Linked DNA regions of Caenorhabditis elegans. The protein of the gene in region 2 purifies or fractionates together with the protein of the main gene of each other region. This does not show direct contact. Each region holds a gene or a part of one and is shown on either strand. Other genes may lie near its edges.

Region 1 (3,927 bases), on a different chromosome or scaffold from region 2:
AGAAGGAGATACTGTCCGAACAGTACGTAGGCCTGAAATTCAAATTTTAACATTGATCGAAAATTTGAGAAAAAAAAATCTACATACTTTATCGAAGCCTGCATCGGTGAGCTTGGTGCCATATGTTGGCCCGATCCCGGCGATGCATGTGACTTCTTTGTCGCCCATTGGCTCTCCGACGAACTCACGATGCTTAACAGAAGTCGACATGGTTTCTGAAACACAAAATAATTACATTCTTGAATTTGAAAATATTTTCGAAAATCGTAGTAAAAAGATAGTTGCGAAATAAAATAAAACTGGCAAGAATAGATAGGAAAATAGACAACGCTCCCTTTTAAACGAAACGCTTGGCGGCCACAGTTCAGCGGAGCGCGTTTGCATTCTGTCTGCGTCTCTCGATTTGCGCACTCTTTCACGAATACTTCTTTTTGACTGTAATTTTTTGGCATCTGCCTCTCCTCTAAAATAATCGATTCATTCGTATGTCGCTGACATTTATTATTCCCAAGAACTAAAAAGACGGGAAATTTAATCGATAATCTTTTCATATAAAATATTTTTTTCTTAACTTGTATAGAAATGTTGTGAAAATATTGGAAAACAAAATGAGCAATTATTGGTGATGACGTTTTCTGTATTCGAGAATCGCTGGATCTGGTGGTGATGCAAGGGCTGAGAATTTCGGTTGGGCAATTCTATGGCGGCAAGCGAATCTTCCGACTTCATCTGCAAGATTTTGTGGGCTATCTTCCTGCAAGACAATTTATATAAATTATTAATTGAGTATAACATTTACCTGAACACAATGTCCAACTTTTGGTAACACACAAGTCTGAAACTTTCCCTGCATTTGACCAATTGTGAGATCCCTGTCCAGCCGATCAACGCCCGCTAGAACAAGCATCTTCGGAACGGAACATCCCAAAAATTCTTTGGATAATCCTTCAAACCATCCTTTCCAGTACTGTTCTGTTGTTGTTAAATCAATTCGCCAAGTGTACTCGTGTTCCGATACTTCTCTAATTTGAGACGGCATTGAGACCCGTGCAGCTGTGGGATTCCTCGCTGTACCCGAAGAAAGGCACCAGTGAATGGCTTTTTCGATAGAAGGAAATGAAGAAGGCCTTGAATGTAAAAAATGAACCATTCCTCCAAGTGCTTCCATAGCGGAACCTTCGACAACATCAATGACAATGAGTGCAGCGACTTTTGAAGAAATCATCTTTGCATTCAATGTATGAATGGCCAATGCACCACCCATACTGTGTCCAACAATGCATACTGGTGAATCGTCTTCGCCGAAAATGTTCTTGAAGATTGCTCCAATATCTCTACAATATGTCGATAGAAGTTACAAAACTTATCAAAGCGAAACCTCACTTTATTTGGGTTTCTTTCGAAAGATCGTGCTCATCAGAACATTTAGTGTCGCCGTGTCCTCTTAAATCAGGTGCAACAACTCTGCATGATATTAAAGTTGCCAATTCTTTCTGAACAGAACCATTAATGACTGACACTAGAATAGAACAAAACATACCGCAAAACACGCCCATGTGAGGCCTGAATAACCTCCACCGTGAAGCAAATAGAAAATTGGACCTTCATTTCCCTTTATGTACACATTGAAAACATCTCCATCAATGTTTGCGTCCTTCTTTTCATCAAAAAAATCTGACCACGGTAGTTCAGACATTTCTCGTTTCTTTCCAGAAGTTGATGTGCTCGGAACTGGTGGTGGCCTTCCATGAGTGACCGCTTGACGAAGAAGATCATTTTGCTGAAATTGATATTTAATAAAACATCATCTTGTTAATTTTCACTATTAATGTACCCTGTGAGGAGTTGTGACATGTGACGTTTCCGATTGAAGATCCGGAAGAGTGTCTAATTTATCGTCGGACATGGTGATCTGTAAATTAATATATTTAAATATTTAAGACAATTAAATAGAAAGCTATATTTATTAAAATTGAGCCAAAAAAATAAAATTATTAAAAATCTCCGAAATGGCCTAGAAAATGCTGACATGCGTTTTCTAGGCCAACGCGCTCGTAGTACACGAGGACAAAAAGATTCGAAAATATTTTATCGAAAACTCCCTCGAAAATGTTTTTTCTGTGATTTTTCTCACTAATTTGTTGTTTTAATATAAATATTAATCTAATCGCAAGCTTTACATCAACTCTAGTGTGTTACAGGTTCACAATGACTGCGGATTCACTCCGCGAACGACTGAAAAGTCAAAATGCAGACTATTCATTACTCAACACATCACAGGCATCAAACCGGTCAGCATTTGAAGACAAAATGTCCCCAGTGTGCAAGAGCAGATATGTGAATGATAATCAGAGACTAGAACAATCGAGAATAACAATGCTGGAAACCAGGATCAAATGGCACATCATTCTCTTAACTGGCTTCTCTATTGATGTAAGAGATGAAACTATTAATTTTTATTAACCAGTTTGTTTCAGCATTTGGTGCTCAATTCATCGTTTACCTCTGCAATTCTTCTTTTCGGATTCTTTCCCTCCTACGTAAATTCTAGTATTTCACTATTCGTCATAATTTATTCATTGATTATGATTGCATCGTACGCGTTTGAGATCAAATTCCCGAATGCCCTGAAGCGTAAGATTTTCAGTTATTCTAAAAAAACTTATTCTATCGTTTTTCAGAGCTGGTTTACAACAAAGTTCAATCAAAACCACCACGTCCAGAATCATCAAAAAGTACACCAATAGTGCCCGATGCTCAGAATGTGCTCGACACAAGTGTACAAAGCAATGACCTTTCTTGGGTTGATGCTCACCGTTTCGGTACTCCATCATTCAAATCAAGCCAACTTCAACAATCTCCTTCTCCAAACAAGAAGTCACCTTCATATTCACAAGTGATGTCAAATGTTTCAGTCTCAGACACTTCGGGAATTCTGGAGGATACCAAAGGGGGATGGAAAAGCCCGGCAGTTTATGGAAAATCTAATGAATCGATTCATACAAGAAAACAGCTTGATGTGCTTCTCCGATCTAATCAGGATGAGATTCCAGTCGATATGAATACTTCTACATTTTCTTCCATTTGGAGTGTATTTGGTTTAGGACGCAGTGGTCAGATAAGTGCGAATAACACTTGGCAGGTTTCTGAGGAAATCACGAATGATGGGAATACTAACTCATGTAAGTTGCATCTTCGGTCCACCATTTCAAAAAAAAATTGTGAAATTTTCAAGATTTTTCATTACAAAATTTGGTTGGTTTGGGAAATTTTGAGTCCGTCACTCCACCAACAAACTATGCTTTAAATCATCAAATTTGTATTATTTTTCAGCATACCGAATGAAAATTGGTAAAAATGGAAGAACGGAAGTAAAAATGTTGAGACGTGGCAAAGATGGAGAGATCGAGGAAGAGGATGAAGACGAACTTGTCCGTTTGCATAAAATACTGAATGCGGCGAAGTTAACTCCCGAAGGAAAGACTGGAATTCTGAAACGAAGCAATTCAATCGATCGTGCCGGGATTCGTAGTCGGCGTAGATCTCATAGTTCACCTGAACGATCTACTAGTACTGAAAATGAAATCAGATACCAAACTGGAGAATTATTAACGGAAGATCAGCAGAAAAGAGCCGAGTTTATGACTAGAGCCTGGATTCGCAACACAATTCTCGAACCATTGGCCGAACACATTGATAAAGTCAATAAAATACTCGATAAAGAGCATGCAAATCCTCCACTTCGTGTTGGAGTATCTTCTGTTGATGCTCTGAAACTTGCAGCAATTGAAAGAGATTCTCTCAAATCTTCAGATCTTCCATTCCTTCTTCCATTCCTCAGTGTCCATCCAAATCAAAAATATCTGATCAGTCGAATCAAAGAGCTTTGTGCCACTCAATTTATGGATGCATACAAATGGAATTCGG
Region 2 (3,927 bases):
TGTTTTTCAAGATTTGCACGTTGCAGCTCAACTTTTCTAACATCTTCTTCTCCCTTCTCTTTTATTTCTTTTATTTGCGTTTCTAACTTTTCCGTTTCGTTTTTGTGTTTTTCTTTGAGTTGTTCAACCTAAAAAAAGTAATTTTTAAATCTCAAAGCGCGTGATTTTTTTACAGAATTCGCAAAAAACCTTTCTTCGAAGTGGGTCTGCTGTCTTAAAGAAAGCTAGGCTGTATGCCGACCAAATTGAAATGCGTACACAAATGTTAAACAAATTGAGATCAAACTTCGTTTAAAGTTATTGAATTCGAGTTTTAATACCTTTTAATGATTTTTTAATGGTGGAGTAGCGCCAGTAGGGAAATTGTCTAAATACACTTAAAATGATCCAAAACGATCAAATATCATAAGAAGCCACTCCAAAAATTTGTATAATTTTTATAATTTCCAGTCAAAATTTTGAAAAGTATGAGCTTTTGAGGAAATCTAAAGCAATATCGCTTGTTCCGACCCCAACAATATTTTAATACGAATAATTAAAACAAAATTGCAGTATAAAAAATGAAGGACAATTTTTTTTTAGTCGATTTCCAAAAATTATAAGTGGCAAAACCTGAGTAATTGTCACTTTTTAGACAGTGAAAAAAAAACTTCAAAAAATGTTTGAAAAGGTTTATTATGATATTTGGTCATTTTGACACCATACGAGCATGTTTTAACATTCTTCTCACTGGCGCTACTATCCCTTTATATAAGATTTAGTAAGAACCTAGATTGCCTACCCAACTTGAAAATACATTTTAAAATTAATTGAAGTCTTACCTAAAAAGAACGTGTGCCTTAAACTACAAGCGCTAAATTCATAACTTTGTTAATAACGATCATACCGATTTCCTATGTGCTTCCTCTGCGGATTTCCTCTCTGCAGCGCTGGAATTCGTAAGTCGTAACATGTTTTCATGATGTTTCTTCTCTTTTTCCGACATTCGTGCCACATGCTTCTCTCGCTCATCAGATATTTTGTCTTCCACTGTCCTGAAATTGGTATTGCTGATGTTGTGGGGCTGTGAAACATTTTTTAAAGGTAAACAGACAAAATTATTTATTTCAAAAATAATAATCCAAATTTTTAACTCAAAATTAATATAGAAACGTTGAAAAATGTTTGTTCTATCAAAAAATAATATTTTTTGTTGAAAAGCTGCAGAAATGCCTCAAAGAGTGCTTTAAAGTTGTTGTTTACCGAAAAACCGTTAAGCGTCACTTTTTTGGCAAACGGCAACTTTCAGGCACTATTTGAGACATTTTTGAAGATTTACAACCAAAAAAATAAATGCTCTCTTAAGATGGAACGAACTTTTTTCTACATTTCTATATTAATTTTGGATTTAAAAAAAGTTAAATTATCATATTGAAATAAGAAGTTTTGTGCGGCTTTTTCAAAAACAATCGCTGCACAGCCCTGTTGTGGACCTCAAAGCAAAACGTACCTGATACTTTCTCGATTAGCAGCCCGAGAATCGCTCAATCGTTGTTCAGAAGCTTCCAGTTCTCGATAGTAGTCGGTGTCACTCATTTTCTCTTTTTTGCACCTATGGAGGGTTTTGTCTTAAATTTTAAAGATTATTTTTTTAAGAATTTTGAAGCAAAAAAAAATTAATAATAAAATTATGTAAAATATTCTAAAAATACTAAAAAGACGGTTGCATGAATGCTGGAATGGAATGGAATATTGGTAACAGTTGTTTATATTTGAAGTTACAATTAGCAAGAACAAATATTGCAATGACATTTTTCAAAATGGAATAATCGAGGATTCCTTATAATAAATGAAACTGTATAAGTCGTTGCTGAGTCATAAGTCATAAGGAATAGGTGAGTCATAAGGAATAGAAAAGGTTTTTCATAATATTGCTAACACTAATATTTTTTTAAAATACTGCCACGAACGAAAGAAGTGTGTATAACTTTAAATTGCCTCAATGCACTCTATGAAACTGTTTTCTTGATTTTTTTGATACTTCTAAATTTTCAAATTCTAATTTTTGATTATCCAGTTGTTTTATTTCCATTTTTTAGATTACTCTGCAAAAAAGACTTCGACCATAGTTATAGGGTGGGTGTACGGACCCGATTTTGTATAAGAATAGATCCCCTGGATTATTTGGTTGGCTAGAAACAAATTTTTCGGCAACAATGTAATGCGTTTTCTTCTTAATTCATTTGTTACTGACACGTTTTTCATGCTAACCAGGGGTGGGCGGCTATTTTTCGGCTACCGTATTTCCTCTATTAGTCTTGCAGTCTCTAATAGTCTTGCACCCCTATTCTTGCCAGACCAGCAGAATTTCATGAAAACTTCAATAATTTTGCCGACGACCATCGAACGATCTCAAAACTGAAATGGATGTATGATAAGAGTTTTTAAGAACACATTTAAAAGTAGCAAAAGTGAATAATTGTTTGACGATAAGTATAAGGAATATAATGCATTTTTATAAAGGAAACAAGATAAGAAAATTGGTATAAGGAATGAGGAGTATGTAAATTAAATTTCATCATCTTCCTAACCCTTAAACTTCTGATATATGGTTTATTATCGAACGAAATTTCATTTCATTTGTTTTCCGCGTTGCTTTTTTTGAATATAATTAACTCATAGAATACGTTTTGATTTTAGTCCTGATTTGAATTCGAGTTCTCGTTATTTTGTAAGCATCCATATTCGTTGAAACCATTGAGAAATTCAAAACTGTTTCAGTTTTCAGATTGTACTGGAAGCATGGGGAATGCGCCCTCAGACACTGTATGAGACTATTTCTTTATTCCTAAAACAAGAAAAATATTTCAGGAAGCGAAAGAGGAAAGAGAACGGGAGTTCCAAGCGGGACAGGAAGCACAAGCTCGACGGGATGTACAAGCACAGCGGGAGTATGAAGAGCAAAAAAGACGATATGAGGCTCAGGAACGAAAAGAAGCGTACAATCGTCAGCGTATGAGTGACTTGAGAAGCTCCGAACTATCGCAGAGAAGAGCCGAGGAAGAACGCGCAGATAGACAGAGACAGGTGACTTTATAAAAAAAACATGTGCAAAACAAGTAGAAATTTCAAAACAAATTTTTGTCTCGACCCACGAATTAGGAACACGGGTAATTATATATTTATAAAATTCAGACAGCCGTGGAACAGCTTCAAGCGACAAAAACTGAGAGCAACAGAAGGGAGGATGAACTCGTAAAATCAAATCAAAAAGAACAAATTGAAGCAATGCAGAGATCCGATGAGGCATTAAAAAACCAAAAAGATGCGGATAACAAGGAAATTTTGACGAGAGAGAAGATTGATCAAGAAATGCTGAAGCAGACCCAGGAGAGAAAAAATCACAGCGAGGACATCATACTTGCAAACGTCAAAGCGTTGAAAAAGGAGGTGAGTTGATCCTCGATTCTCCCAAAATGCATTTTTCCATATACAGTAAAATAGCCTTACATTAGTTACAATTTTTATAAATACAAACTTATTCTCAATTCAGAACACACGATTTCAAAAGGAGAGTCTTAACGAGAAGAAACAATTTGGACTGAAAGTCTTGAAGACAGCGGAAGAGAACAACGCCATTGTTTTGAACGAAACGCAGAGAACCAATGAAATCAAGTTGGGTAATGGAAAAAATCAAATAGATCATGATTCACGAATGGCTGCGTTAAAAGAACGGAATATGGTAACAAAGGGTCTTTTCTACGGAGAACTAGGAAAAGACAGAAAAGAAGATGTTTTCATTGCTGCTGTCCACAGAATGGTCAGCGCTGGACGAGATCTTACAGATGAAGTCGACTCTTCGGCGGGTCACACAATCAAACTAATTAGAGGAAGTGACCGAGCGGAATTGAAAAGCAATATTGGACTTTGTGAGGTTTGTTGTTTCAC

Evidence for each region.
Region 1: the proteins of pals-4 (region 2) and B0464.9 fractionate together in Caenorhabditis elegans (co-fractionation; one large-scale study listed by BioGRID). This does not show direct contact.

Annotation. Positions count from the first base shown.
Region 1 is NC_003281.10:9,463,752-9,467,678, reverse strand, and holds B0464.9 (putative protein phosphatase methylesterase 1), read right to left. Parts: upstream 1,913-3,927; 5' UTR 1,907-1,912; coding exon 1,835-1,906; intron 1,781-1,834; coding exon 1,541-1,780; intron 1,494-1,540; coding exon 1,384-1,493; intron 1,335-1,383; coding exon 800-1,334; intron 755-799; coding exon 617-754; 3' UTR 490-616; downstream 1-489. Other genes in the region: baf-1 (Barrier-to-autointegration factor 1), read right to left, coding at 1-32, 88-210; B0464.6 (uncharacterized protein), read left to right, coding at 2,209-2,433, 2,478-2,634, 2,682-3,182, 3,334-3,927. UniProt on the Caenorhabditis elegans protein: Demethylates proteins that have been reversibly carboxymethylated.
Region 2 is NC_003279.8:13,111,285-13,115,211, reverse strand, and holds the start of pals-4 (Protein containing ALS2cr12 (ALS2CR12) signature), read right to left. Parts: upstream 1,726-3,927; 5' UTR 1,576-1,725; coding exon 1,490-1,575; intron 1,084-1,489; exon of another isoform or gene 1,035-1,083; coding exon 887-1,034; intron 129-886; coding exon 1-128. Other genes in the region: pals-3 (Protein containing ALS2cr12 (ALS2CR12) signature), read left to right, coding at 2,782-2,805, 2,851-3,066, 3,175-3,429, 3,533-3,913.